3 linked regions of the Lepisosteus oculatus genome follow. The protein of the gene in region 2 purifies or fractionates together with the protein of the main gene of each other region. This does not show direct contact. Links are inferred from orthologs where the notes say so. Each region holds a gene or a part of one and is shown on either strand. Other genes may lie near its edges.

The links. Proteins that work in one complex are often made in the same cells at the same time.
Region 1: the proteins of nup107 (region 2) and nucleoprotein TPR fractionate together in Homo sapiens (co-fractionation; 4 studies listed by BioGRID and IntAct, with this or other methods). This does not show direct contact. The link is inferred for Lepisosteus oculatus from reciprocal best matches to the Homo sapiens genes NUP107 and TPR.
Region 3: the proteins of nup107 (region 2) and nup37 purify together in Homo sapiens (affinity purification with mass spectrometry; 7 studies listed by BioGRID and IntAct, with this or other methods). This does not show direct contact. The link is inferred for Lepisosteus oculatus from reciprocal best matches to the Homo sapiens genes NUP107 and NUP37.

Annotation. Positions count from the first base shown.
Region 1 is NC_090704.1:8,458,859-8,466,005, reverse strand, and holds the start of nucleoprotein TPR, read right to left. Parts: upstream 3,007-7,147; 5' UTR 2,940-3,006; coding exon 2,789-2,939; intron 2,000-2,788; coding exon 1,895-1,999; intron 1,563-1,894; coding exon 1,489-1,562; intron 1,331-1,488; coding exon 1,234-1,330; intron 789-1,233; coding exon 685-788; intron 438-684; coding exon 273-437; intron 1-272. Other genes in the region: odr4 (protein odr-4 homolog), read left to right, coding at 4,229-4,327, 4,578-4,712, 5,059-5,154, 5,883-5,989, 6,413-6,449, 6,870-7,010.
Region 2 is NC_090702.1:23,597,628-23,605,441, reverse strand, and holds the start of nup107 (nuclear pore complex protein Nup107), read left to right. Parts: upstream 1-4,799; 5' UTR 4,800-5,079; coding exon 5,080-5,087; intron 5,088-7,042; coding exon 7,043-7,131; intron 7,132-7,814. UniProt on the Homo sapiens protein: Plays a role in the nuclear pore complex (NPC) assembly and/or maintenance. Required for the assembly of peripheral proteins into the NPC. May anchor NUP62 to the NPC. Involved in nephrogenesis.
Region 3 is NC_090702.1:54,841,052-54,848,565, reverse strand, and holds the start of nup37 (nucleoporin Nup37), read right to left. Parts: upstream 3,007-7,514; 5' UTR 2,853-3,006; intron 1-2,852. Other genes in the region: parpbp (PCNA-interacting partner), read left to right, coding at 3,597-3,746, 4,698-4,931, 5,586-5,696, 6,901-7,071. UniProt on the Homo sapiens protein: Component of the Nup107-160 subcomplex of the nuclear pore complex (NPC). The Nup107-160 subcomplex is required for the assembly of a functional NPC.

The sequences.
Region 1 (7,147 bases), on a different chromosome or scaffold from region 2:
TTAGTATAGTATTAACACAATTTTGGGATGCATAACTATAAACCTTCTCAATGAATGAAGAATGCACTTGAGAAGTAGCTGCACCTAATCAAAAGAGTGGATTTTTCACACCAGCCAAAGCTGGACCAAATCAAGTATTATTTTTGTTTAAATATGTGTTTACAGTTTCAGGTGTTTATAACAGAAACCTGAAGTGCAAGAGTATTGTTTCTTAACCCTTGCAGGACCAGACCACAACATATAATCTGCCTAATAAAGCATATAAAACAAACCTCCTCCTTTTTATTCTCCAGGTTGCATTTGAGCTCCAGAACTTCATTGCCTTTCTCTCGGGAGACAGAGAGCAGCTCGTCAGTCTTGGCCTTCAGCTCTGTGTTCAGCCAAGAGTTCTGACTCTGTAGGAGCTCTTTCTCCTGCTCCATCCTCTTTTCCCGGTACTAAAACAAAAACAGAAAACAACTTTGTGTTGTTGTCCTACTTAGATTCTATTTAGAACATGACCAACCTGTAATATTCCAAAGATGCAGTTTTCTTAGTGGTTGTGACTCCACAGATTCACAACAGCCTCTGGCAGATAAATACAGTTTTCCAAATTTACAGTTTCCAGGCAACCACTTCAACTTTTGGTTTAATCTCAATGTTACAAGTTTCACTGACAGACTCCTAAAGCTGTATTAACCTCACCTTGATTGAAACCTCCGAAGACTGAAGCTCATCAAGCTTTAACTGGAACTCCATCTTTGCAGTATTCGTCTCCACAAGCTTGTCATTGAGACGTTTAAGGTCCTCTGTTAAAGAAAGATGACATTTTTAAGTATCTGTTGCATAAAAAGAAAAACGACGGTAGATCTGAACTTAACACCGAAGGACTCCAATTTGTAGAATATGTTGCACTGCCCTTTTTTTGAGAGCTTTGCTGAGGAGCACAAATATTTAAAATTTCACAACGTGAAAAGACTCCAGTACATCTCACTCAGCCCCTCTTGTGGCCTTTTACTCTCAAAACAACTCACCTTTATTCTGAAACTCCAAGACAACCAGATTCCCTTAATACAAGTTGCCAAACAAAAACTAGACTTCTGAGTCTTAAGATTTCAAGCAACAGTGTCAAGAAAAACCCCATCTAAACTGTATAACACAATTCATCATAACGACAGCAGCTATGCAAATTAGGCTGTCTTAAAAGATTCCTTCAAGGTCAGAGGCTTTGTGGCACAACCCAGATTTTCATACCACTTAGATGCTCCACTTCCTGGGACCTTTTCTCCAGTGTTCGGACCAACTCTCGTTTTTCAGCCTCCAGTTCATCTTTGACTTTGGTGAGGTGAGCCTGAAATTAAACAGAAGACGGTGGTTCTGTGATGCCTGCTCACAAGCAAAATGTGCCCCTTTTAAGTTTCAGATGAAATGACATACAAAATCCAAAGAAAAGGCATTTCAGAACAAGTAACTAAAATGTCTGTATCCAAAATGTATTTTGATGTTCACCTGCTGTGCAGAAAATCTCTCTTCTGAGGACTCATATTCTCTCTTTTGCTCTTGCAGGGTCTTCAGCTCTGCACCTAGAAATTGAACGCAGAAAAATTAGTTTAGAGCCCTACTTGTAATGTGAATGAGTCTTTACATGGCAAGCTTCGAGCAGTAGCCAAAGATTCATCCAAAAAAAAAGAGGATTCTTCAAAAAGATAATTTACCACATGGCCTGAATCACAAACTATACACCCTGTGCAGGAACAAGCATGAACAAAGATCCTTAGAGTTAGCTTCCAAACATTTTTGACAGTAGCCTACCATTTACAACAGCATGCTCAAAGGCATGGACTACATTCGTATCTGGGTGAAAACTATAGTACTGTCACATTTACTATAAAGTGATTGCAATCCGTGTACTTACTGAGCTTGGTGAACTCCTCCTGGAGATTTTGGCGTTCCTGAGTCTCTGATACGAGTTTCTCCTGGCTCTGAGCCAGTCGCTTCTCCACTTCAAAGTACTGCTGCTCTGTAAAGATTAGAGAATAGCCTGCATCAATCTTGGTTGCACTGCTGTAAGAAAAGCTTTTAATATTAATGAATGATTAAGCACTGTTTAACTCCTAAATCTGTGCAAAATCATTCAATAACTGCTTATATTACAAGACAATCCTGTAACTTAACCTGACAAACAGTTTTGCAAAAGTTTAGGGTACAGGTATGTCGTTAAACATAGGTTATTTATATTTGCATAAAAAGTCTGACAAATCAATGATTTATACCAGGTAGATAATCGTCCCCATTCTTTAAATTACAAATTAACCACTACAGCCTGAAACGGGACAAATTCACGTTCAAGATCAGTTGCTCAGATGGGGTTAACATTGCAGTTTACAGACGTAACAAACTCGTAATTCAATATTCAAAGTATGAAGATCAAATACTACAGATGGGGGATTTCCTCCAAATTCACAGTTTGTAAATCAACAAAAAAAAGACAGAAATGGAAAACTCAACCTTCCAAAAGGAATCAGACAACATCCTTTTTTGAGGTCTGAAAAGCCAGGTGCCAAAGGCCTGTTGTTTGCCTCCTCTCGGCAGCCATATTAAAATATATGAATAAACACGCAGCTGGAGAAATGGGCCCTATACCAAAGTCAGTTCAAACATTAAGGAAAGCGATGTTCACAACTGCGCACTTATAATCATATGCTCTCAAAATCCAAAGTCTGCGATCGGAATGAAACGCGAGATCTCCCTGCGTCTCCAGAGCAGGCATGACGAAAGATTAAACATGAACGTTTCCCAAACATCTTACCACTGTCTACTTTAAATCGCTCGTGGTGGGATTTGAGGGCATCTATTTCAGATTGCTGGTCTGACAAGAACTTCTCGAGCTTGTTTTGGACGGCTTTGGAGAGCTTGGCCAGCTCAGGCCGTTCCAGCATCTGCTGCAGAATCGCCGCCATCTTTAACCCCCTCAAGTCTCAATTCGGGCGAAAGCTCTTGGAAAATACCGCCTATCTCCCCACTCTCTCACATAGATATATATAAAAAGTCCTAGGTAGGCCGGGGCTTGTCGTCATTTCCGTAAGTAAATTGCATCGCCACCTAGGTAAAGAAAAGTGTAGTTGCAATTATTCTTCTCCTTGTAATGTCTGACAGAAGATACGTTTCTTTTTTCACGACATATTAAAGGTCATAAGTAGTTACAATTTAAAGAGAAAAATATATAAATGTGTTTTTTAGAGGAAGATGTGCATGCATAACGATGAACCTCCAGACGTCTTGGGCTTTTTACGTTTATCCACAGCATTTTCATTTAATTCATCTTAAATATTTATACTTTTTTTTCCTGTGCAGCTAGCGCATAGTTTAATAAGAGTGTAGCATTTTAGTTAAGTCCTCCGAAGAAGGACGTCATAATCAAGCAACGCAAAATGGCCAACCAGCGGTTGCTGGCTTTGTGACGTTCATTCCTAGGAAAAAAAAAAAGCTGTTTTGGGTGGTCTTACCAAGCAGAAGTGAAGCGTGCAGGTATGAGTTTCTGATGTTAACATATAGTTGAGACAGTCGTGGACAGGCAATTGAATGTTGGAAAGTTAGAAATTTATGTATGCATATTACATGGGCATGATTTGCAGTGCCTTCTATTTTTACTCTTTAGCTACAGAAGGAGTATAATGATCGCAGTACACGTTTCAAATTTAAAAGTAGCTAAATTTTAAGTTACGGGTTTTGAGAAAAGCAATATTCGGGCTGTTTATTTACACCCGTATGTTATGATTGGGTGTGTGCGTGTTGAAATTGGAGAATAAAGCGTGTGCCTTCTCACAAAATAAGATCTTTGTGTGTAGGATATTTGCGATCTGTTGTACAGAATTCCTTATAATATTTACATTTTGCATTAAACAATCCAGCTTAATTTGAAGGGAAATGTATAATACTACAAGGATTAAAGTCCCGGATTCTTTAAGAAGTACTTGACCAAAGAGATGACGTGTAACTCCTGCGCTGCTCTGAATCAGCTGCTGTAACCCGCACATGATCGATAAGTAAGGATTCAGCAGTCTGTTCGTAAATACACTGTGCTTCTTGGGATTCGCATAATACCCATCTGTTTCAGCTAGCGCTTTTGTCCAGAGCGACTTATAATAGTGTCACAGTTTGCTGAATCAATCTAAGTGAAGTACCATTTTACTGATATGTCATTTTTGCTTTTCCCCCTTAGAAGACAAGTAATGATAAATCTCTCAGGATGGGGAGAAGTTACTTTGTGGAGGACGTGGTAGAAAAGTACATTCTGAACCTTGTCACTGCAGAAAAAGCCTTCACAACCGGTCTCTTAATTGGGCAGGTGAGGTTCCTTCGTATGAGTGGGCTTTTTTAAGAAGCGAAGCATAAAACTAAAATAGTTTTACCATTAGACATCTCCAAAGTAAATCCAATAAATGTAGAGATTTTTGTGTAATGTAAACTTATCATCTTTAAAAGAGAACTAGATATGTTTAGTGTGACAGTGCACTCCATAAACAATAAGCTCAGTACATTCAAAATAAAACTATTAGTTGATGCTTTACTAATACTTTATTTTTCTTTGCGTTTAGTGTTCTCCACAGAGGGACTTTGTAGTGCTTGCAGTTCAAACGGCCCAGAGAGAAGAGCAATTTAACCAGCCCAAACAGAGTAAAGTATCACTAGTGGACATTGATGAAGACTGGGTCATTGGGCATGCTCGGCAGGTGTGTGATTTAATGACTTTGCCAAGAAAAATTCACATCATAATGAAAGCAGGTGGAACTGAAGTATATATCTGGTATTGCAACAAATAGACTTAAAGGCGTTAAAGGCGCAACGAATGATTGTAAGAAGCAATAGCATTTCTACTGCCTATATGACAACAGATGTCAAAGTCAATGTTAAAACGGGTCAACAGTGGAATAATAAATATACACAGATACGGAGCTTAATAAAATAGAATTGTTTCCTTTAGTCAACGTATACTGTTTATGAAAATCTTTTTAAGGAAATTTGAGAACTCCCCCCCCAGTTGATCTCTTTGTTTTAATGTCCCGTGGTGCTGAACAGGTTTCTCGAATGTTGCCTGGGGGGCTGGAGGTCCTTGGCGTGTTTCTGATCGCCTCGCCTGAACTGTCCAAGGAGTCGCAGAATACACTGCGGAGGGTGAGTGACTCAGCCCCTGAGTCAGGCCCATGACTGAAACACACATTGAGCGTTATGGCCCAGATCCATACTGTATGTAACCTTGACTAACTCCACTTCTCATACAACACATTTTGGAGAGAGAAAAACTATCGATTTTACATTTAGATTCATAATTGATTTATCTTAATTTCAGTTATTATTTTTCTGTTTCTGTTTCAGAATTCAGTGATACTCTGCTGTTGGGTCATTCGGTCTAAATGTATGACAGTAAAGTAATACGTTGTTCTCCAAGCCCAATACGCGATAGATGTATGTTCCAAGCAAGCGTTACTTCATTCGTTGAATTTAATAGTTCCAAGCCACAGTATGTAAAGTGGAAGAACAAATGTTGTTACATTGCAAATGGAATAGAAAACGTTGCAAGTGATTCTAAAAGTTTTGTGTTTCCCCAAGATTATCATGTTCAGTATTCCCGGTTGCTCAGACAATTCACTTTGCTCATTGTGTGCATAATTAGAGGGGAAACTGGCCAAGTCTAAAACAATGAGCTATTCTGTAAGTAAGAATTCCATTGTACCAGTACATATACCGGTTACATATGGCTAAAAAGTTCAAATTAATCCGAAGTGGCTCCAATAAAAAAAAAAGGTCATTCTGAATTGGACAGAAAGGAGAAAATCGTGTATTAACAATTGTACCTGTGAGAAAATCATTTAGGCATATGAGCTTTTTTTTTTCTTCCTTAGTTGGTATTTGGAGTGGAGAAGTCGGTAGTGAAGGGAAGGCTTTGGAAGCTATCAGAGGATGATGTCTCAGAAAGAGTGACTCTTCACATCTGCTCGAAGACGAGGAAGTATCCTTTAGAACAGTGTGTGAGGTTGACAATGCAGACATTCTCCTGTACATAGGAGCAGTATCATTAATCAAAAACCTTGATGTAGGAAGGTGAATCTGAATCCGACCTCACATTTTAGGCTAATTCTTAAATATTAATGCAATCATAAAAAATACAAAGCAGTGATTATGATGTAGTTTGCCATGTCAACTTATGTTACTTGTAACCATCTAACGTATTTGCACTTGTGTACTTGGAGGTGCGGGACTTCCTAATGTGTTTCTGTTGTAAGTTTCTGTCTGCAAAACCATGATGTAAGGTTAATGTATCTATTACAGATGTTTATATGAAGCAGACACATTATTTTCAGTAGCTCTGACATTTGTCCTGATATTAATGTCACCTAAAGCTTCATAATTTTCCTTGACTTGGTGAACCAAGAGTGACATGTCGGACTTTCGATGTGCAAGACCCCAAGGTGATATTAAAGAGAATTTAAATATTGCTTTGAGAAATGCAACCTTAACCATACCCTACATAAAACAAGTACTACCTAAAACATCTACTAGACCTAACCTAACCTTAGACCTCATGATGACCCTAAACCTAATCAGTTAATTGGAGTGTAAAATGTGTTCCTACCATAGTTCCAAACCTAATTTACCCTGTCACTAGACGTGATTTTAATGCTATCCTTAGCTCTTATCCTCAAATATGTTACCATGTTTAACCTTTTCCATTAACTCCTGGCTTAATTCTGCATCCTTTTATACAAAAGCAGTGAAGAAAACAGCTTTTACAACCTTCTGTGCAGTTATTCCATTGAAGAATGAATGCTTATTAAGAATCTTTGTCGTCGTTATATCTTTACTTGTCACTTCTTAATGATGCCCTGAAGAGCTCTGCTAAGCCAGCAGACTGGAAGTACCAGCCAGGACTCTCATCCTCATGGTCCGTCCTACAGTGCAGTGTTAAGATAGACCTACACATCCCAGTGCCAGAAGGGTCCTCTGTGAAAAATCTGGACAAATATGTGAAGGTAATATTTGTGTTATTTTATTTCCTCATATGTAAATCCAAAGGAATGCAGGTGTTGCAAGAATGGGGAGAACAGGCTTCTTGTTTATAGTTCTCTTTTGTATGTAGGATTACCAGAGCAAAATAAATAATTTGATC
Region 2 (7,814 bases):
CTGTTTACAGTATAGTGTCCCCATCACTATACTGGGGCATTAGGACCCACATGGACCGCAGGGTGAGCGACCCCTGCTGGCACCACTAACACCTCTTCCAGCAGCAACCTTAGTTTCACAAAGTGTTGTGGGAAGTCTGGATACAGTTCTTCTATCCACAGCCTAGTTCTTATTCCAAATACACACATTTTCTTGAATGCCTGTTACTTATAATTTCAGAATCTATATCAGAACACTTCTGAACATATTTAATATTGGGATGGAATATCTTCAAGGGACATCTGATTGCTGCTTCAGGGGGTGGGGGTCAGTAGGTGGCACACTTTCCTCTAGACCGGTATGGGGACACTACGCAATGCTGTAAGGTACTGTGGACATTAAACTGATGTCTTGACTAGTCATTGAAGAATCCGTGGCAGAGCTTGTCAGAAAAGGAGTGTAAACCCTTCTGTCTTGGCACCCTGAACTTGCACAGACAGCCTCCCTAAAGTTCCCCTGTAACTCAAATGGTGAATCACTTTCTCTCTTCTTCAAATGATCTGTGTGGTGGAACTGCCGTCTGTCAAGTAGGTGGGAGATGCACTTTGGTGCTGGATTTAGGGACCCCTCCTATGTTTGAAATATGCTATACAGTATATGAAAAGGGCTTGTGTGATGACCCATCTTTTCTTAATCTACACTGCTTAATAGCTAGAATCCTATTGCTGTATAGATCACCTAGTTCAGTTTTAGTTTCCATACCCATACATATAACAGAAGTATGACTTATTGGTCTATAATTATTCAGCTCAGTTTAGTCACCTTCTTAGGGATGACAGGATGGGCCTTGTGAGCAATTTTCCAGTCAGTGGGTATTGCCCCTTTCCTCTGTGGCTGTTGGAAGAGTTACCAGCCCGTGAGTCACATCTCTCATTTCAGAAGTACAATTTATCGAATACATTCAGGCCCCAGAGATTTTAAGTACTGCTTACACTCTCTTCTTGTGAATAACATGCAACTTCCTTTGCTCAGCCTGAGGCATGAGGTCAAATTCTTCCTCACTGAATACCTGAGTGAGACATTTGTTTAATTCGATGAGTCATTTCCCTTCAGTGTCTAATTGGTGTCCATTTCACCTTGTGAGGAACTTTCCTTTTTCCTTGACTGTTCTTGTGCTGTTAAAATACAGTGAATGACCGTTTTAATTTATGAACCTCCTCTTGGTTATATTTGTATTGAGATGTGATTCGAAAGGAATCCGATCGCATGACTTGTGTGAGCTCAGACGTGTCTGAAACTCGGTTCCAATGGGGATCTGCTCTTCCCGTGCTGAGCAAGCGCTCCTCGACGACTCAGCGGGTGGCTTTCTTTAGTGTCTCCGGGTGTTGTAGCGCCCCCAACTGGCAGTTCTGTCATTCAGCCTTTGGGAGGAGCCAGTCGCCTGTTTTCAATGCTAGCTTTATCGTCCCATTTGGGAAAAATATCGAAGATATTAATTATACATGAAGCCTACTTCAACCCCTCGCCAAATATTCCGACTCTAGTCCTGAAAGTTGTGTATTGGTATGGAAACACGTTCCTTTCAATTTATATCATTTGGAACATTTCCAGTGAGTAGAGTATTTCCACCAAGAATTACTTTATAAAGCACGAATTCCCTAATACATAATGTTTTAGATTGATTTAATTTATGCTGAAATGAAATTAAAGTTTATTTATATGTAAAAATAACAGCCGTGAAATGTAGTTCGATGCTATTGCAGTCAATTACACCATCTGGATTTACACCGAATGATTTACGTAAATAGGTGTCTTACTTTTTTCCTCATTATTTTCTCGATGGGGGGGTCTATTTTTAGTTCTATTCAATTATTTTAATCACAAACCACCCCTCTGTTGATTGGTATCTTATTCTGCACCTACAGAATTACTTTTCTTAACGCTCTTTAATCTTTCTTTGCATCTCGAAATGCGTAAGGTAAACAAAATTGGACTGCAAAAATGCAAAACGCACTCAGCACTTTTCCCCTCTTTGATTTGTCTAGTAATCCCTTTACCGAAGGCTGCTACGATAAAAATATGTGAAACACAGCCGAAAATCAAATACACCCAGCACTGCTGTGGCGTGTGGCTAGGATGTTTGGTAATAAGGGACTGCGAACTATGCATATGTCCATTTCTGCTTTACTCGATACTTCGTGTAGCTTATTCCTAGGTATTACCCTTCCCGATCTCATTCCTCTGGCAATGCTGGAGTCGCCAAATGAATCTAATTGAAAAAAATCTTAATCAGTCTGAATCCTCTTAAGAACACGGAGCTGACAAATCAATTCATTAAACAGTCTGCAACTGTGTGCTGGAGCCTGCATAGCTGGCAGACAGCAGATGTGTCTCTTCAGACGATATGGAGATCCTGTTGCTGTGTATCGGTCCCAAAGACGAGCTGAGCTGGGTTGGGTGTTACTCCTCCTCTAAACAGAGAGCAAAAAGGCCGCTAAAGCATGTCTGGACACTTCTTGCGCAATGTGACATCCTGAAATAGGTTTTGCTCGTAGGAGTCGTGTTCTATTTTGAGTTGGAAGAATAAAGGGTTGCGTCTGGGTTATTTTGTTTTGTTTTTAAGCTAGGACAATAGCCTTGTTCAGTAAAGTGCCCACAAAGAGTGACATACTGTATTAACCTTTTCTACTAAACAGTGGTACACGCTTATAAACATTCTTACATTCATGCAGCCATTCAGTGTATCGTTTACCATCGCGTTCACCATCACATTTCAAGATAAACTTATGCAAGTTTACAGAATAAATATTTTGTGGAGGAAAAGTTGAAAAGCAGCATTTCAGTGTAGCCTAAATATTTATTTTCTGAAGAAATGTTCTCAAAACTGCCATTACAGAAGTTTAAAAAGATTCCCTCTCCCCCCTCCCCCCATCCATTATTAGCCAAATGGAAATGTCAAAATGGATTGGTACCTTCCTAAAGGGGGAATGACAAGTGCACAACAAGACAATTTTGGACATGTTAGTGTTAACTGTAGTGTTAATGCGTGCGCAGCTATAGGCTTAGGAGCTGCGAAGGAACGAGTCCGTGCTGAAAAGGTAAAAAAAAAAGCACAGAACTCACGAAGCGTCACAGGAAGACTCCACACCTGGAACATTGTGTTTTTCTTCTCTATTTTCACTTTACAGAGCTTTAATGAATCCTGTTTGTATTTGTGTGTGTGTGTTATTTATTAGATTGTCTTCGTTAGCCTCTACATGCAACGTTGTGCCTGCCTAGTTGTAGAGCTGGCTTCGTCTACAGAAGTTTCACATTACTTCTTTCTACCCACCCTTTTCATACAATGACTAAACCCCATGTGTGTGTCAGAGGACAACATGACAGCGTGGTGCATGGGCTTCATGCAGTTTGCCAGCGCAAATGTGTTTCTTAGAAATAACTCTGCATACCGTTCGTGCCTATTGTGACAATAGGAACACTTGAATCTCATGCTTTTCAGCACTGAAGTAAACAGAAAACTACACCTTCGGATGAGACATAAAACCAATGTCCTGACTCTCTGTGGTCATTAAAAATCCCAGGGCGTTCCTCGAAAAGACTAGGGGTGTACCCCGGCATCCTGGCCACATTTCCCATTGGCCCTTACCAATCATGGCCTCCTAATAACATCTATGAATTGGCTTCATCACTCTGCTCTCCTCCCCACTGATAGCTGATGTGTGGTGAGCGTTCTGGCACACTATGGCTGCCGTCATATCATCCAGGTGGATGCTGCACATTGGTGGTGGTGGAGGGGAGTCCCCATTACCTGTAAAGCTCTTTGAGTGGAGTGTCCTGAAAAGTGCTATATAAGTGTAAGCAATTATTATTATTATTATTATTATTATTATTATTATTATTATTATTATTATTATTATTATTATTTATTACACATTAAAGCACTGTGGCCAAAAGACAGCACTTCAGGGGCAATCGTGTAACTTGTGTGCGTGCTGACTTGCCACGAGCAATGATTTGAAGGCTACAGCTGTCCTGAAAGGGGTCTAGCAAATTGTAACAGAAGGCCGCTGTGAATCTCTACAGTAGGACCCAATGTCTACTGTATTCTGAATCAGACACCCACCTCTGTCCTTAAACCAAGAACAGGATTTTCTTCTTTCTCCCAGCGCTTCTGGATCTTTTTTAACATTTGTTGATCACCGAATAGTAACCTAATTATAAGACGAAGTAATTTAGATTTTGACCATGAAGTCTGGATGTAGTCTACATGCCGTACAAATTGTAAAAAGCTTCCTGGGACATTCCCTAAGTCGGTTATTGCTTGATATGAAAGGTGCAGAATACGGTTTCTTGAATTTATCACCATTTGGTGCGAACCCTCGAAAAGAAGTTAAACAATTTGAGCTGGAAAAAAATAATAAACCGTATTTGTATTGTGAATTATTTTTTATTCATATGTTTTAAACAGTTCATCACTATCGGGGAAAGAGTCCTACTGGTCCAAAAAACTCATTACACTTTCTCATTAAATACTTTTATTAGTTAATTAATCTTAAAACTTATCACTAAAGACTTAAATAATTTAATTTTGGGATAAGGTTTCTGGGTCTTTATTATTACTGTCACTATTACTCATTTTGTAAGTATAATGTAAGAAATTACTTTTTTTCACTGAGCCCCTCAACGACACTAGAGGAGCGAAAATGGATGGGTAGTAGTTCGTGTTTCAACTACTAGGTGGCGCTCTGATGTCTGCAGGCCTAGCGGACTCCTCGGTGTACCCTCTTTACCACAACTGACGAGGCATCCTACACGCTCTCCGATTTCACCGATCGGCCAGCCCGCCGGTAAAATATTCAGACAGCAGCTTTTTTCGAGATATTCCGTGTTGTTGTGACCATAGAGGACGAAAAGTAAAGGTGGTTCTATAAATCCATGCTTTCTTAAGTTCAGAAGGAAGACCTGGTCTTGAGGGTAAACCGTTCTTGAGTTAGAAATCGACTACTTCTGGACTCGACAGAAGCCCCCTGGCCGAGCGGGAAGAAGGAGTGGGAAGTCGCTCTGTCCACTACTGACTATTCCGATATAAATGCTGCAGCGATGGAGTGGTAAGATGTTGCATATTCTCTTCTTCCCGACCTAGTTGTGGCACGTTTTTAATGGTTATTATACCCGTGTTCTGCACTGTACCGTAGCAGTGTGGAGACATGTGGCATGCCAGTTTTGGAGGGTAGGCCGCGGGGTACAACACTAGTGAAACACATCTCACCTGTTACAGTGAGCTGTGGGACGGGTACCCGACGTTGATTTGTGAACATTTGTGATGTACATGGGTGGAAATGGATTCGATACTCGACCCTCCAGGCGCCCGTAATATAAACACATTGAACTGAACGGTTATTTTTTCATTTTGAGATCGATATATTGGACTCTTTATTTAAGGATGTAGGCAGAGTTAATTCAAAGAATGAACATTATATAAGGTATTTAGCAATTCCACTATATAATGCGTTTAACGGCACATCAGCTTTGTACTTTGCTGTTGGAAAGTAGCATACCGAGAACGCCTGGACAAAATATGTCTAGGGAGCTCAGGGTTACTACTGTCAATGTACAGTATGTGGGGTTATGGAAACGACAGTTGAAAGCAGAGGATCCTCCATATGGCAGAAAAAGGTTAGGGAATAGTCGGCATGGATTGGAAAAGGGTAGTTCTCGCTTAACAAACACACTTGCTAGAGTTCTCCAAACACGCAAGAGCACCAGCGGCAGATTAACGCGATAAAGTTAATTCTAAAAGGTTAATTCTAACATTGTAGGTGATAAGTATTCAAATAAATGTTTGTTTTATTATTAGGAGTTGAAATTTAAAGGGTAGTGAATAAAAACATGGGTAAGGGATGAATGCTCTAGCTGGGGTGATGTTATTAGTGGTGTGCCATAGGGACATGGGACCTGTGCTCTACCAGATTTCTATCAGTGATCTAGATTCTGGCGTGGAGAACAATCGAGTTCATATGATGCTACCAGTTTATGAGGATGAACAAACACTATGAAAGCAGCCAAGTAAATTCAAGATTTAGAATTCCAGACTGGGCAAACACCTCACCTGCCAGATGACATTTAATCTAGACAGAGCGTTACGTGCAGATTGTAGAAACTAGCACGAAGTACAAAATGGGAAACACAAATTTAGAAATAATTGGGTGCTTATGGTAGCATCTTTTTATTTCTTTATAATGTGTGAAAACAATACAAAAATCAAATAGGTTATATAGTTAAATAAGACAAATAAGAGCTCATTTTAGAACAGCACTCAGTTTTTGTTCAGAAAATAGCTATATTCTGGGAGTACAGTCCTGGTATTAATGTCCTCTTCTGACATGCTAAACAAACAAAATCTTTTTAGTCTTGAACAGAAAAGATTACGACGGGACCTGATTGAGATATTCCGAATCCCCAGAGGTACAGCCACAGTCAGCCTTGTGGGCCTCTTCAGAATAAGTCCTGAAATGAATCAATGGGCACAACGTAAGGGGAGAACAGGAGACACTTCTGTACGCCGAGGGTTGTGGGAGCCTGGAACATACTGCAAAGCTGATCCCTGCTGTGGCTTCTGCCCAGACAGCAGGATGATCCTCTGATCAGTTAGTTACTAGCTACCAGATGGGCTGGATGGGCTCAATGACCTTCCCTTGTTGGCCGGCTTAAGGTCCTTACGTCATTTATCACACCCTTCCCTTGTCCCCAGCGAAGACCCTCCTCCTCGAGCTGCGGTGTCAGCAGAAAACTAGCAATAACCTGCTCTTAATGGCGGGAGATGCAGTTCTGTTCGTGTCTACAGTTACCCACAGCAAGATAAAACACCATAGCTCTTTTTCTTTAAAAAGACACCTGTCACCATGCGGTTGGAAATGGACATGTTGCCTAAGGGGATCTGCCGCCAGGGGTCAGGAAGAGCACTCAGTCCTGGTTATGCAATATTTCATGTCCGTTTTTAAAGACGCCTTTGTGTTTTTGTTTTTGGTTTTTATGGGGGGGCTGACATTTCTGTCTGTCTCAGGGGCAGCAATGACCTGATGTCGCCGGTGGTCCGGGAGTTGGAGGTGACGCGCGCGGCCCGCCGGAGGAGCCTGAAGAAGAAGGTGGCCTGTATCCTTTCCCTGTGTCCCCCGGCCCCCTGTCCCGCAGCTGGCGGGAAACGCGTGGCGTGGGCCCGGGGAGACAGCCAATAAACACCCTGATGCTGCCTTTTCCTGCTGGACCCTAGAGTGGAGGATACAGGCAGAGTCAGCAGTGTGCTGTCTCCAGCTTGTTTTGTGACGTTCTGCGTGAGAATAAAAAAAGCAATAGATAGCTGTGTGAATCCAAGATAGTCCATGGTCTGCATGATGGGAGAACTTGTTAGTGAGCGGAAAACAGGGTCACGAAGGGAGAGGAAGCATAGTTCGGACCCGTGTGTTCATTCTGCACAAGCGTCCTGCGTCGACTTGTCAGATTTGTTTGTCTGGGACGCCAAAATAGGAGCGGCAGGGAATGATGTCAAATCAGTAAGGGGGTACCAAAGGACTTAGACCAGGGGTGCCCAACCTCTTTTAATGTAAGATCTACTTTTTCGTTTGCCAGTCCAGTGCGATCTACCGGTGTGAATTTGAAGCTCTGATATAGGAAAAACAGACTGTGGGCACATCAGTACAATAACGATACCCATCGCTAAAATGACAGCCAACAAAAGCAAGTCACTCACGCTACAGTGAACAAGTAATGTTCCCCATTTTTTGGGGAAAAAAAATCTCCAAACTTAATGAGAGCATTGGCGCTGAGAAGCTTTCTTG
Region 3 (7,514 bases), about 31 Mb from region 2:
CAGCCAAGAATTAAGTGAAGACTTTCACACAGGGGGGTATTCTGCACGTCTTTTCCTCTCTCCGATATTCACATGTACAAAAGCAGGCTGACACAGCTGTAACAGGATCAAAGCTCCGTTTACCCAGACCTATCACGTTAGTGTAGGGCGCCACTCTGGTCAAGCACTTATTTTAAGGTACTGAAAAGCTTTAAATTGCCTAGATTCTCATTTTTAATCCAATATTCCCCATTCCATAAACCACTAATGCTATCTGAAAGCCTCAGGAAAGAACCACAGGGGACATAGGTCATAAACATTTGAGCCCATAAACAACAGAACATCACCTCAGTCAGGTACAGAAACCTCTTTTCAAAGACTAAAAAATCATTTGTAGATCTGAGCATGACTTGAATAAAAAAATTCAAATGACAACTACCAGATGATCTTCAATGCAAATTGTATTTAACACTTTTCATCTGAATTTGTAAGGCACTGTACTTTTACTTGATTATTTCTACATTTTCTGCCGAGAATGCTCTGAAGAACATAAGAATATGGCCTTTCCAACCATTCTGCTCATTTGGTATCTAGGTAAACCTAAAATTTTATCAAGCTTCTTCCCAGCTTGATGGAGGAGACCTGACTTTGAGCCACAACAACCTGACTGTGAAGCCTGTTTCGGATACCCACAATGCTTTGAGTAAAGCGCAGCTTTACAATTTCTCTCCATGGTACAAAACATAAACCTTTCTAATGCACTTATTTTCTGTGGTATAATGCATGCTTTAAATACTGCAATCACAGCAGAATAATTAATCTGGCAAAATCACACAACCACAACACAAATCTGGGAACATGAACACACTTGAATGTGCTTAGATTATTCCTTATGTGACTGCCAGCAACTGACATGACATATTTGCTTAGTTTGTAACATTTACCATGACTTGTCGGTTACAAACACATCTGAGGAATTATGTTCTACTTATCAACCTGCTGGAGTGTGGATTCTGGGATCCATATGACCACCTTGGCAGAGAGATCAACATGCACAGCTGAGCGTAGGGAAATTGGGAAAGGACTTTCTCCCCCTATGGGACCACGACTGTCACACAGGAATTCTATTTTCTGGCACTTCTTGCTTTGTTGGAGTTGAAGAAAAAAAAACTGTGGAAAAGTTAAATGGACTTAAGTGCGTTATGAAAGTTGATCTCTATATAGGAAAAATGTTGGAAGCGGGGATATGCAGAGTGGAATTTTTTATCCTGCTATGATCTGACAACTATTTTTAACTGGATTGTATGTGATGGCTTTAAATATACACACAGGGGAACCTGTTAATCATACCGATTATTGATCAAAAAGAAAAATCACGTAAACCATGAGCTAATATTTCTCCCTCTGATGCCAGATTCAGCCGACAGATAACTTTTAGTAAGAAAATAGGAAAGGTTACAAAAGACAAGTTTGGTCCATCTAGGTGTTAAATGTTTAGCCATTCAGGGGTCTGAATGAAAGAAATCTGGTGATTTCTTGAAATAAGTCAGGGTATTGGCTTCAGCAACATGTCTCGGTAGCTCGTTCTACACTCCAACAACTCTTTGTGTAAAGAAGTGCCTCTTGTTCGCATTTCAAGTTGTTTCTGAATAGTACAAGTGCTCCCGCAGACAAGAGAACAAAATTCTAATTTCTCGATGTCTGGTGTCAGATTCCCTTTCTTTTACAGCAGGGGATTCTCCTAAAACAGGGAAAGGGTCAAATGAAAAGTGAGTTACCATGATTCTCGGAGAAGGAACTATAACTTGGATGGCTCCGATCAAGAAACCACAAGAAAGTCTACTTTTTCACGTGACGGAGTGTGAACTACATAAGACGTGCTGAGGAGCCAATGCCTGCATAGCCAAAGCGATCCCAGGGTACCAAGAAACAGTGGAATTTAGACAGAAATCAGCCTGGATCACTGTCTGAGACTCCAGCAACACGGTATGGGGGAGAAACACAGAGGTCCGGGGGTATTGCACTGCAGGGCTCCCCAGTCCTGGTCCTCAAGGGCTGTCAGTGTGCCTGCAGTCCCTAAGACTGAAGAGAGAAGCTGGTAAACTGGTCCAGTTAAGCCAGCAGCGATTTGATTCAGGTCAATATCACCCCAGCTGGACAGAAGACCTACAGTACGGACTCACCAGACCTAGTCAAAGTCCAGACCTAAATGTTGTGTCACGGGCAGTTTATGCTTGAAAACCCACAGATGTCACTGAGTTGAAGCAGTTCACGGGGACTGGAAGGAACTGGTTCTACTGGTTGAAGAGGGGAAAAAAAACTAAGCACGTTTGTAAGGGAGCAATATGTTTCCAGTCTTTACTGCATGCAGCTTACGAAGGGAAACTGGTTGATAAAGACTCGAAACCCGGCGCAGTCAAACTGAACTCCATATGCTCGAAGCCTTAAGAAGAAAATTCGTTGAAACTTCACGGGATGGTTTGACAGCACAGTGAGCAACGTGGTTGCTGCTCAGCCGAAATGTGCTCTGGGTGGAGACAAGAGGACTAAAACAGCGACAGCAGTCAGCAACGCACACAAATGAAGTTGTGCTCGACATGTGCTGCCCCGAGTGATAATACCTGCACCGATACAGAATGTGCTCTGATAAAACCCTGCAATCAACATGCTGGCATGCATCAACCGCCGGGTGTTTTCCTTAATATAAAAGTACAAATCAATTTCATTTCATTTGAACTTATTTCGTATGTTTTTGTTTTCTTAAAAGTCCTCACAATACTAAAAATATATATTGCCCTACACTGAAAATAAGTGAAGTGAAGTCACTCGTTCATATGATTACTTTTTCCACAACAGCTTAACAGCGTACCTACCAGGATATCGGAATGACACGGGTAAGGTCGCTAAATCCAACACGTTGGTGGTATTTCAGTGGTTTTTCGTGTTAAACTCAAGTTGTACCACCAGCTTGCACAACGCAGAAACAGAGAACCCGCGCGAGTCTGTTTTCTGCTTCCAGCAATCTGATTGGCTCCCCAGGATCATATCCGGGTGAAAGGTTGCCCCCTCTCATTGGCCAGTGTCTTGCTGTCAGGAGTTTTAAATTTTTTACATTTTCTGAAACAGCTTCCCTAGGGAGAGCATCACGGTTGTTGACACAGGGACTTGCAGGTACTTAAAAATATGTTAAAGCTGCCTTTAACGTGTATCTTAAGGTTATTTCCCCTTATACTTTAAGTAAGGTTTGAAGCGTTTGATCGTTTTGTTTGATACTGGCTTTGATGTTGCTTTTCTGAAGTTTGAAGTGTGAATGCGTTGTATTTCAAACGCATTGGTGTTGTTGTTAGTAATAATAACAACTTCTATTTATAAAGCGCCTCTCCAAACACGAGGACGCTGAAAACTGAAACACTTGTCTTATAAAATTGCGAGTACACAGACCCCCAATTAAAACCAATCTAGTTGGATTAGGTAGTGCTGGTTAGGCAACTCATAACTGTACGTCTTCGATCAGTCAAAGGAGCCATCACCACCAACCACCAACAGAAACATCGCTTTTATGTCGCATGTATGTGCTTATTGTTCACAAGTATCCCCCCGTTTGGTTTCTAGAAAAAATGGCGATTCTTCAACAAAATCTCAAGGTCCTGGTGAAAGCCTTCAGGAGAGACTGTTACCGGCTGCTCGGGTCCGAGAGGATAACGATATGCAATGCAGACGACATGTTCACGGCTTTGCAGCTGGTCATGGCCGAGGTGAACAAACAGGTGAGGTTTTGCACGACGAAGTAGTTCTCTAACCGTGAACATTAGGAGTTTCATTGAGTGCTAATCCACTCTGTGATCAGCTCTGACGTCATGTGCCTGTCCTCACACTGGCAGTCAACCTTCCATTCATAGAGAAAATAAAATGTAGACTAAATTCAAATCCAAATCTTGAATGTCTCCATATGAATCCAAATAAGTATGTTAGTGTTCACCCCTGATGCACCCTACTATACGTATCTGGACAAAAACCTACCAACACCAGGACTGGAGATTTAGGTGCTAAGAGTTTGCCTTCTGTACCCCAGTCATTCAGTGTGCCGTGCTCTTTTCCCATACTTGTTTTGTGTTTTTGACATCTTTTCTCAGTTTGTTTTTTGGTTTGTGCAGAGGACACCAGGTTGCAGGAAATTTAATCCTCTCCTCTTGAAAAAGTGTGTACGGCACATACTTGTAGTTATGCGCTGCCGAACCTATTAGTTTTAGTCAAGTCCTATTTGTGTTAGAAGACGCACTAGTTACGGTTTTAATTTCTGTGGTCTAAAATAATGTGGCCCTGCTCTTCAGAGGAATCTTTCCCTGGCTAGATGTACAGAGCCCTGTAATATCTGAGGAATGTGTAACTGGATTAGTACCTGCTGGGATTCCATGAGGAGCACATGACTTAACAGCTTTAATAGTTATTTTTATGTCAGCTTGGCTTTCTGTGCGGATGAGGGAACAGCATTGCAACACATTGATGAAAAACATTTGTGTATCCAGGAGGAAATCCCTTTTTTATGTGGACAAGATTTTCATAAGGTTATCATCATTCTGCTATGATAGGGGGGGGGGGACAGATAAATGGGCTTAATCAGTTCTATGCATGAAATGAAAGACATGAACCAGATAATACATTACATGAGATGAACATGAGTACTGGGTTCATATTATTCCCTTCTTGTTTCCATTTAGGAGAAAGGAGAATTTGCTGTTTCACTGAGTGAAGTCATTGTCACCTGGGCTTATTTACTTAAGGATAAACTGAACTTATTCCATGAAGGTTCACATGCTCCAGAGAATTACAACATCATACGGAAAAGCTATGACTCCTTCCTGAAGAGATCGAATACTGTAGACTTGATTGACATCTTTGGGATGGCTGAGCAGTTAAAAATAGAAAGCGATCCAGAAAATCGCCTTGCAGCTGTAAGTACCCCTGTTGGGAATCCTGCTTGCTACATATAAATGAGGAAATCTTCTGCAATGCTTTAGTGCAATGTGACCTCTGAGGCTCCTTTACTTTTTGAGGTGCTGTTTAAGTCATGGCTTATGTAGTGTTAAAACAATCACTCCCTTCATCCCCCAGAATACCTCCTTAACCTCTGTAAAATAAAACTGGTTCAGGGCTGACTTCTCTTCATCTCTAAATGTTTTGGAATTTAGAAATGTCATTTCTAAAAGTCCATTTTCTAAATGTCATTAATAAAAATTACATTCAGATTATGTTGTGAATTGATGGTAGGGTAGCACAGTGCTCAGCATTGGGGAGCTGACTTCAGTTTTTGATCTGGGGTGCTATTTGTGTGGAGTTTGTATGTTCTCTCATTTGCATGGGTTTCCTCCCACAGTCCTGAGATGTACTGGTAGGTTGATTGGCTTGTTGCATTAAGTAGGCATGTCTGTGAGGCCCTACAATAGACTGACGTCCCATCCAAGGTGTATCCTGCCATGCGCCTGTTACTTGCTGGGATGGGCCGTGGCTCCCCTGCGATCCTGAATTTTGACTGGCATCCAGATTTTCAGGTGGGATTGTACTAGGGGAATCTTGGCTGTTGGTGATTATTCTCTCCTTTGAAAAAGGTCCAGCTGTTTGAGTTTCTGTCAGGTAACTCTGAATACTGCGATCAGATTGACCTTGTCCCTCCAGTTCCATCGACTCCATCCAGCAGGCCCCGATGGACAAGTTCCCAGGTACACTTAGTGCTGTTTTGACTCCAGAAGACAGCCACTCTTCTTTTTCCGTTGTTCGTAATATTTTATTGTGATTATTGTATGTAGATGACACGATAGATAGTTGACATTTTAAATTCAAATCCTGTGGTCATCAGCAACAAACGTGCCTGCTTTTCATAGTGTTTGAATCAATAAAATTGAGATCCAAGCGTAATGTTTTTCTAAGTTTTCAAAAATGATATTGGACACCTGCTATAGGATCCACGCGTCAAGGAATTGGATACATATTAACGATTTGCTCAGCAAGCATCTGATATCGTGGTTCTGTACAATACATGGAGTACTTGTGCCTTAGTCTTATCTGCCTTGTTTGACGTAATAGATTTGAACTTTGGTTAGCCAAAGAACACAGTGTTCTCGACTGTGAAACCGTAAAACTGACAAGAACATAGGTCTTCAGAGGACTTTTTTCCGTCGTGTTCTGCTCTTCCTGTCCAGTGTTTTCAGTGGAAGCTCCCTCAGTAACGAGAAAGTTAAATCCTATTGCCCTGACTGATGAGAGCAAATGGATCTAGTTTAGCAGGATTTATAAAATGACATATGATTACAGCAAGAATATCCGTGTCCGTGGAGTAATTCTTAAGCTCTTATGATCTTAATTAGAAGTTACAAGCAATGGATGGGACAGCCTTTGCTTAAGTTTGTTAGTAGCTTTTGATGTGTGTGTGTTCTGTGTTCTCTGATATGATGGGGGGAGGTATTGGTTGCTTGGTGATTTATGAGTACGTTTTCAGACATCTAGGATGCATTGCAAACAATTTGTGGCTACAGTGTGCTCTTTCATTCTTGATTTTAAAACGAACAATTTTCTAAATGCACTGTGAATATGTAGATGGGCTTATTGAAAGAAATGTGCAGGGTCTTTGAACTGTAAAGTATTGGCTGCTTGGTTAACAGTAGAGGTTGGCAATGAACAATGTTATTTTAGATTGTTTTAAATTGGGTGGGGTGGCCTTCACCAGCTATAGTCTTCAAGGTGCCTTTTTTTATTTGATAACTGGAAAAACATTTTTCCTATCTCTAAGTGTCATTTGAACGGTTTTACTCTCTCTTCGGCCTTATTCCTAAAACAGCTGCTGCGTTATTGTTTTTGAAAACAGATGTTCTATCCGTTTTGTGCAGGCTGAACTTAACGTTTGTTTTGCATTTCTTTCCAATGCAGTTGCTGAAAGTGATGAAGAGGCTAATCTGTGCATACTTAAACTTGCTGCTGAACTCCAAGAACGATCTGGCTGTGGCCCATGTGCTAAACATTCCTGACAGAGGCCTTGGAAGAGCTGCCTTCACCGATCTGAAGCATGCAGCACGCGACAAACAAACGTCTCTTTTCTTGGTAGGAGGCAAAAAGAGGACATTGTCTCTGGCAATAGGCTCGGGTGGGCGTTTACTGGTTACCTGTTCTCTCAAAAATGTGGGTTAACAGAGCAGAATTCAGAGGTTTTGTCAGCAATACCATACCATACCATACATCCTTGCGGTATGGACAGTCTTATAAATGATCTACTGAGATACTGTATGTGAAAATGCTTTAGCCTAATTAATACTTTTTTACTGAATTTGCTTAGCTTTCTATCAAACAGCATTCGGGTCCTCTCTGATTTCAAATGTCCTGCATCTTGGATATGATTTTAATCTCTTTGATCTCAGACAGGTCTTCTTTTGGTCACTTCTTAAAACTAACTAGAAAAGGCAGCTGCATTGAAAGGGGCTGACTCTCTTTTTGCAGACTTCAAATAGTAAGGATTAGTCAAAATTGGAGGAACTTTGCTTTAACTC